2 linked regions of the Nothobranchius furzeri genome follow. The protein of the gene in region 2 interacts with the protein of the main gene of each other region in a biochemical or structural test. Links are inferred from orthologs where the notes say so. Each region holds a gene or a part of one and is shown on either strand. Other genes may lie near its edges.

Evidence for each region.
Region 1: the proteins of gckr (region 2) and gck form a complex in vitro, tested with the Homo sapiens proteins (2 studies listed by BioGRID and IntAct, with this or other methods). The link is inferred for Nothobranchius furzeri from reciprocal best matches to the Homo sapiens genes GCKR and GCK.

What each region holds. Positions count from the first base shown.
Region 1 is NC_091757.1:56,107,156-56,109,704, reverse strand, and holds the end of gck (hexokinase-4), read right to left. Parts: coding exon 2,451-2,549; intron 2,367-2,450; coding exon 2,219-2,366; 3' UTR 514-2,218; downstream 1-513. UniProt on the Homo sapiens protein: Catalyzes the phosphorylation of hexose, such as D-glucose, D-fructose and D-mannose, to hexose 6-phosphate (D-glucose 6-phosphate, D-fructose 6-phosphate and D-mannose 6-phosphate, respectively).
Region 2 is NC_091754.1:55,298,323-55,302,890, reverse strand, and holds the start of gckr (glucokinase regulatory protein), read left to right. Parts: upstream 1-1,714; 5' UTR 1,715-2,001; coding exon 2,002-2,016; intron 2,017-4,568. UniProt on the Homo sapiens protein: Regulates glucokinase (GCK) by forming an inactive complex with this enzyme. Acts by promoting GCK recruitment to the nucleus, possibly to provide a reserve of GCK that can be quickly released in the cytoplasm after a meal.

The sequences.
Region 1 (2,549 bases), on a different chromosome or scaffold from region 2:
CAACAGCGCAGAGCCAGGCCTCCAATTCCGACACCCTCGCCTCCAAAGCTACAAAAATGCTACATTTATTACACGTACCATTATCACTAAAGGAGGCAGAGGAGAACTAAACATCTGACACAGAGAGCAAGATATAGGAGACAGACAGGCAGAGACAGAAGTAGCCATAGCCGTGATGAGGCTAAGCTAACTGGACGAGCAAACTGTTCAACACCAAATAAACTGCGTGGGAACTCAAATGGTTCCCTAAAAGCTAAGTGGAACAACAGAAAATGTGTGTTTTAGCATGCTAATGTGCTACAATAACTCAGAGATATCCTAGTACAGAGTAAATAAATCAGTTTTAGCGAGCCCCAAACACCAAACAGCTACACGTAGTGCACTGGAAACAGGAAACGCCTTACTGCCAGGGAGATGCAGCAGCATTCAACACTCATAGGTTAGAAGACGTTCAAATTATTTCATGTTTGGCCTATTTGTTGTCAACTGAAATTATAAATAAAGATTTCAATATTTCAATCAGAATATTTTATTTTATTTACTGTACAGCCTATACAAAACACACTTTATAAAAGAAAAAACACAGAACATGTTGAGGTTTTAAATAAACATAACAAAACACATTTCTTTCCTCTCAAACACAAATTACACAACAAATTATTGAATCTGATTCTGTCAAGTCTACAAATTTACAAGGTTTTTGTGTTTATATCAAGCCCCCACAATGCGGCTCAAAAATTGAGTCAAACCCGGAAGTACCAAAAATTGCAGTTCCACCCTCATCCACTAGGGGCTGGTGTCAGAAGCGAGCAAATCCTCATTGACTCCCATGTTAAAAATACCAATTTCACAGCAGAAATAAACATGTTTACAGCCTGGTACCAAAACATGTTTTTGGTTTAAATGATCTAGTTTACACTCATGACAACTCTGAGGGGGGTGAATTTTTTCTCACTCTTCTGTTTAAGTGTATTAAAAGCCTAAAATTCTGTATAATTAATGAGCATCAGACCCACGTGACCACAGAGCTAGCTCCGTGGAAAGGCCTCAGTAGAGCCTCGGTCTGGCCTGGAAACTGCTCCGGGATTTTTGAGTCTGTGTGTGTGTATTCTTTTTTGGATATTTTTTGTGCAATTGTTGGACAAAATGACTTGCTGTGGCATTAATTGCACTAATAGAGCGTCCAAGGAGTCTCCACTTCATTTTTTTCGATAAGTAAAATTATATTTATGTATTTTAGGTCACTGCCGAGCGGAGCTTAGATTTTAACATGTACTGTTTAACCATGAAATGTAAATGTAATAGGGTAAACCCAGTGCATTTAACATAATGCTGCACTTTAGAAAATGGGTTGAAAAATAACATGTTGGTGGAGCTGGGTTCCCACTATCGCCTTGTGGAGCTCTCGAGAGACCGATGTTTTCCACCCCTCCCCGCAGCCCGGCGCATCTCTGTCTGATCGCGGCTTCTGTCTGCTGTGCGGCTGCCGGCTTTCAGCAGCTTTCGGGAGACCTCTGTGTTCCTCCCGGTTTTACCCAGCGGTCAGCCCGGCGTATCTCTGACTCAGAAGCTCTGGTGTTGTGCACAGTTAACTCCAGTTGTAGCTAGGTTGCTACCTCCGTTAGCTTAGCTCCCACCTCCGCGTTAGCTTTGGGTTAGCTTCAGGTTAGCTTGTAGCTAGTTCGACTGGGTGTCGTCAGTTGATCCCAGCCTAGCCACACCCTTAGCTCCACCTCTCTTCCCTTTTATGGAATTGTCTGGGCTTGACGGAATCTGTGACACGGTCAAAATGGCGGTGGTGGCCACCTCCCATTTCTCCTCCAAAACGTGTTATTGGAGCCTATGGAAATGAACTGTCCAATATATATGTCGATGGTTTATATGCACAACGTTCCATATTATATAATCTGTTTTTGAATGGATCGTTTTACCACCAACTGGAAGTAACTCCTCCCAAAAGCACACCTAAGACGAGCTTTCATGCTTCCTATTGTTAAAAATACAAGAGTAAACAAAGTCTTACAGTTTGGAAACATTAAAGTCTCCGTTGTTGGTATAGTGTTACTAAATAAAGTCTATTATACAAACACTTTGATGCTTCCTTGTCCAGTAATTAGTACCCAGTTTGGTCCCTCTCAAGCTTTAGAAAGTGCATCAGGATTTCCTCCTCCAGCCGGAGTCGAGACTCGTTCCATCACTCTCCAATGCAAATCCATCTTCACTGTGTCAGCATGTAAGCTGCCATCTTACAGGCCACAGCCGAGATGAGAGCTGCTCCCCGTCCGCTGCCCTCCTCCGATTGGAGGAAGGTGATGTCACAGTGGGGGGTGAGCTCCCGGACCACTTTGTGGAAACGGTCGCAGAAACTTAAACACAGAGACAACCGGTTCGTCAGTCACAGAAGAGTCTCGCTTCCGTCCACTCTAATAAATCCTCTCACTGATACTCACTATGGGTGCAGCTTGTAGACAGATCCGTCAACCCCTACTGTGATCTTCAGGGTGTCCTGGCGGCGCTGCTCTCGCATCTGGTTGATGATACCAGCGAGC
Region 2 (4,568 bases):
GGTGTTGGACTGACTCAGAAAGGTTGACACCAAACCGTGCGTCAGATGTCAGATATCATTAATGATCAGTGTTGGCTAGTAGTGAGTAATATCAGTGCATCACCATAAAGTCACAGCCCTCTACAGAACGTGCAGTTTTCTAAGTGAGCCCTAAAAACATTTTCTTAAAAAGGGCAACACGATTAACGTTGTGTTAGCCTTTTCTTGCTCGATGCAACATGGTGTGAGAAATATCCCGGCTGTCGTGTCCCTGATAGAGATTAGCCAGCAGTTCTGCTAGACGGTGGTGGGAGTTTGGAGGAGTGATGAGATGTATCAGACTCCACAATCTGCTCTGGTGTAAAAATTTTCACACTGCAGAGAATCATTTGGGTCTCTGGTGCACTGAAGATTGAAAAGCATGTTTTAAACTCTTTTTTTAACATTGCTGATATGATTTACAAATCTATTACATCTCAAGTTTTCAATATAATTTCAGGGGTTGGTTATTGTTAGAAATAAAGGAATAAGGCTGTTGCTGTTTTTTTTCTAAGCTTTGTTTTTACAAGCTGGTTCCCAAAGTCAGAGACTCTCTTGGTCAGCTTGCTTCTCACGCCAAACCCTCTGTCAGGAATCTTGGCGTGACCTTTGACCCAGCTCTCACCCTGGATTCTCATGTCAGTTCTCTTGTTCGCTCCTCCTTCTTCCATCTCAGGAACATTGTAAAGCTGAGTCCCATTCTGTCCCGCTCTGAACTTGAGACAGTTCTCCACACCTTCATCTCCTCACGCTTAGACTACTGTAACTCTCTTTTCACGTGTCTGAGCAGAACCTCCCTGAACCGTCTACAGGTGGTTCAGAACACCTGTGCTCGGCTTCTGACCAAGTCCTCCAAACACACCCACATCACCCCGCTTCTCCTCCAGCTTCACTGGCTGCCAGGCAACTTCAGGGTTCATTTCAAGATCCTGGTTCTGGTCTATAGGGCCTTACATGGACAAGCACCATCTTACATTGGTGATCTTCTTAGTCCAGGGGTGTCCAATCCTGGTCCTCGAGGGCCGGTATCCAGCATGTTTTCGTTTTAACCTGTTTCAACACACCTGATTTTAATCAGCAGGTGATTAACAGACTTCTGCAGAGCCTGATGAGCTGCTGCACAGGTGATTCAACCAGCTAATCAAGCATGTTGAAGCAGAAAAACCACAAAACCTGCTGGTTACCGGCCCTCCAGGACCAGGATTGGACACCCCTTTCTTAGTCCCTACACCCCCAGCAGGTCCCTGAGGTCCAGTGATCAAAGCCTACTGGTTGTGCAGCACCAGGCTAAAGACCAAAGGTGACAGATCATTTGCTGCTGTGGCCCCGAGACTCTGGAACTCTCTCCCCCTGAGCCTGAGATCAGTGGACTCAGTGGTCTCCTTTAAAAAGCAGCTGAAGACTCACTTGTTCAAGCTGGCTTTTGTATGACCTTCTTCACCACTCTCTCTTTATTCTGCTCTCCCCACCTATTCCACCTTCCTCAGGATCCACTGATTTCCCTCTTTCCTATTCACTCTCTCTCTCTCTTTACATTTTTTAATCACAATTGTCTATTTTTTGCTCATTTTAAATATATTTTAATCATTTTCTAAATTCTTTTTTATATTTTACATTTTTTGTTTTTGTGGAGCGCCTCGTGACTTTTATCTTGAGAGGCGCTATAGAAATGATTTCTTCTTCTTCTTCTTCTTCTTCTTCTTCTTCTTCTTCTTCTTCTTCTTCTTCTTCTTCTTCTTCTTCTTCTTCTTCTTCTTCTTCTTCTTCTTCTTCTTCTTCTTCTTCTTCTTCTTCTTCTTCTTCTTCTTCTTCTGTCAAAGGTCAAATTGTGAACTTTGCGTCCAAAGACAGAGGAGTGCCTTTTATTGCTTTTCCTTACAACCTAAGCTAACTGAAACAGAAGGAGACATTTAGTAAGAAGTGCAACTTCTGAGAAGAGAGGACAGCCCCACTTGCAACAGCAGAATTTATGTGTTTTTAACAATGTCTGAATGGGAGGTGAGTATACAGGAAACAAGCTTTCGATGGACTTGAACTCTGTGACAGTTTCCACTTTTGCTTTAATTTAACAATCAGATTATTTGGATTCAGCCAACTTCAGATAATGTAAATAACAGAAGTGTATGTGAAGCTTTGAAAGTTCCAGGATTTATAAGAAGATGCTGACTCATCTTGACTTGGTCTGACACAGTGGACTGAGCTTATGACATGCATGACATGACATGCATCGACTGGATTTGACTTGACTTTAATTGACATGATATGGCATGACATGAATTGATTTGACTTGACATGACATGACTTGATCTGGCTCAACTTGACACGACATGACTTGCTCTCAGTTGACATGACATGATTTGATTTTACTTGACTTGACGTGGTTTGGCATGACATGACTTGATCTGACTTGAAAGGACTTGATCTGTCTTGAATTGAGATGACATGGCATGATCTGACTTGAGATGACATGACTGGATCTGACTTGACTTGACATGACATGATATGACATGACATGAATTGATTTGACTCTACATGACATGACTTGATCTGGCCCAACTTGACACGACATGACTTGTTCTGACTTGACATGACATGATTTGATTTTACTCGACTTGATATTATCGAGTCTTGCTAGTGAGTTTTTGCAATGAGCCAGCCCTTAAACTATGGCTGCAGGAAGATGGTATCATGGTTGCCAGGTGGAAATGATCAAGCAGACCCAGGTGAGAATAGCTGATGGATAAAAGTGGAAATTCAGAGTTTTTTTCAATGTGCTACAGAGGCGTGGGTTCTCTGTTTGTTAGCCGTTTAGCTAGCTGAGCAAGGATTCACGGGAGGTGTCTTGTAGCCTCACCTTAGTGTAAAATTTCCCAGAATATAGTGTGCTATTTTCAAAAGGATGGCGGATCAGGAGCCTGGAGCTACTTTGGGGGCAAATGTTCTGTTCGAATGTAAGTCAACTAATTATAGCTATCGGGCTGATATCATGTCTAAATGTATATATTTTTTTAGATCCAGTGCAGTTATCTATGGTTGCTTAGTAGTTTCAGCTTCGGTGGCTAGTGGGTAGTAACTCACTTATCTATTTAATTTAACCAGTATATACACAATTTAAAGGGACTTTACGGAATTTTAAATTTTTATGCTCGTGATTGCCCCCTCAGGCCAAAAGCGTAACGGCAGCTTCAATAGTAGGCTCGTGCACGAGGTGCGCATGCTGTACGTGCACACTCCTTAATGAAAATAACAGCTGAGACAGTTCTGTGTGTGTGTGTGTGTGTGTGTGTGTGTGTGTGTGTGTGTGTGCGGCCCGGAGGACAGAGGACAGGAGAACACGCAGCTAATTAATTAAATAATTTGGTTCTGTACCTTTCTCTTCAGCACAGCCGACAAAGGTTTATGATGGGTCAGTCCTCCTGCATGCTCAGATCATTCCCTTCCCTTGCTTGAAAAATGGTTTCAAAATGAAAGTTGAACCCACATCTTTTTTATCTGTGAATTCAATGCCGTTCGGCGAGTCTCAAATAAAAATTTGGGCATCTTACTGTAAAAAAATATATTATTAATGTAAAAAAGAAACTCTAAATAAACGATGTTCACACCCAGAATCAAATCTTCTGCTCGAGAGCCCAACGTCTTACTGGGTGAGCTAAAGCGCCAGTGACATCCTTTGTATCTGTAATATTTATACCCTTGATGACAGCTGAAACAACGTTCAAAGAACAGTTCGGAGCGAAAATGGCTATTTTGTTGCTAATTTGCAGGAAATATCTAGAAGAAAGTTCTACAGAAAGTAGCTAAGGGTCCTCAGAAATGTAGCTAGCTTTGTCACTAGGCGTTAGGAAGAGCGACAAAGTGGCACTGCCTCTCTCTCTGCTGCTAAAGCTACGAATGGCAAATGCTCCGGGCGATGCCTGAGCGTGAACGCGCATGAAGCAGCCTGCTCGACCCGAGCATCTCTCTTTTTCTGTGATTTTACAGAAAAATAGGCAATCACAGTAAAAATGCCAGGGCTCATTCTACAGGACCAGGGCATTGCAGGAGAATGTATGAAGAAGACATTTATTATTTCTATACATGTTTTGGCTGTCAAACTTTCATAATGCCCCTTTAAAAAGTAAAAGGCTCGTTATACATAAAATATAACTTAATCTCACGTGTCCCGTGAGGTAAGTTTGTTCCATTAAACCGATTTCTTTGATCAAGGAAGGACAGTGTCCTCATAGGCAAGGCGTCTGGCCTACCAAGACATTGCCTTATTAGGCCAGATGCCTTGACACTGAGGAACGCCCTTAGACCTGCTCCCATGTATTTTAGACGCAATTTTTATAGTTATATGTTATTCTATATAGAAATTATATTTTCTTCTTCTTCTTCTTCTTCTTCTTCTCATGAAGCCGCCAATATTTTTCAACAACTGGGCATCATTTCATTCATTTTCAACATAATTTCGATGGATATTTCCAGAGATTAACGGTAAAAACTACACATTGTCTCTTTAACAAAAAGTCAAGTTTTAAGCTAAGAAAGCAAGAAAATTGGTTTTTGTC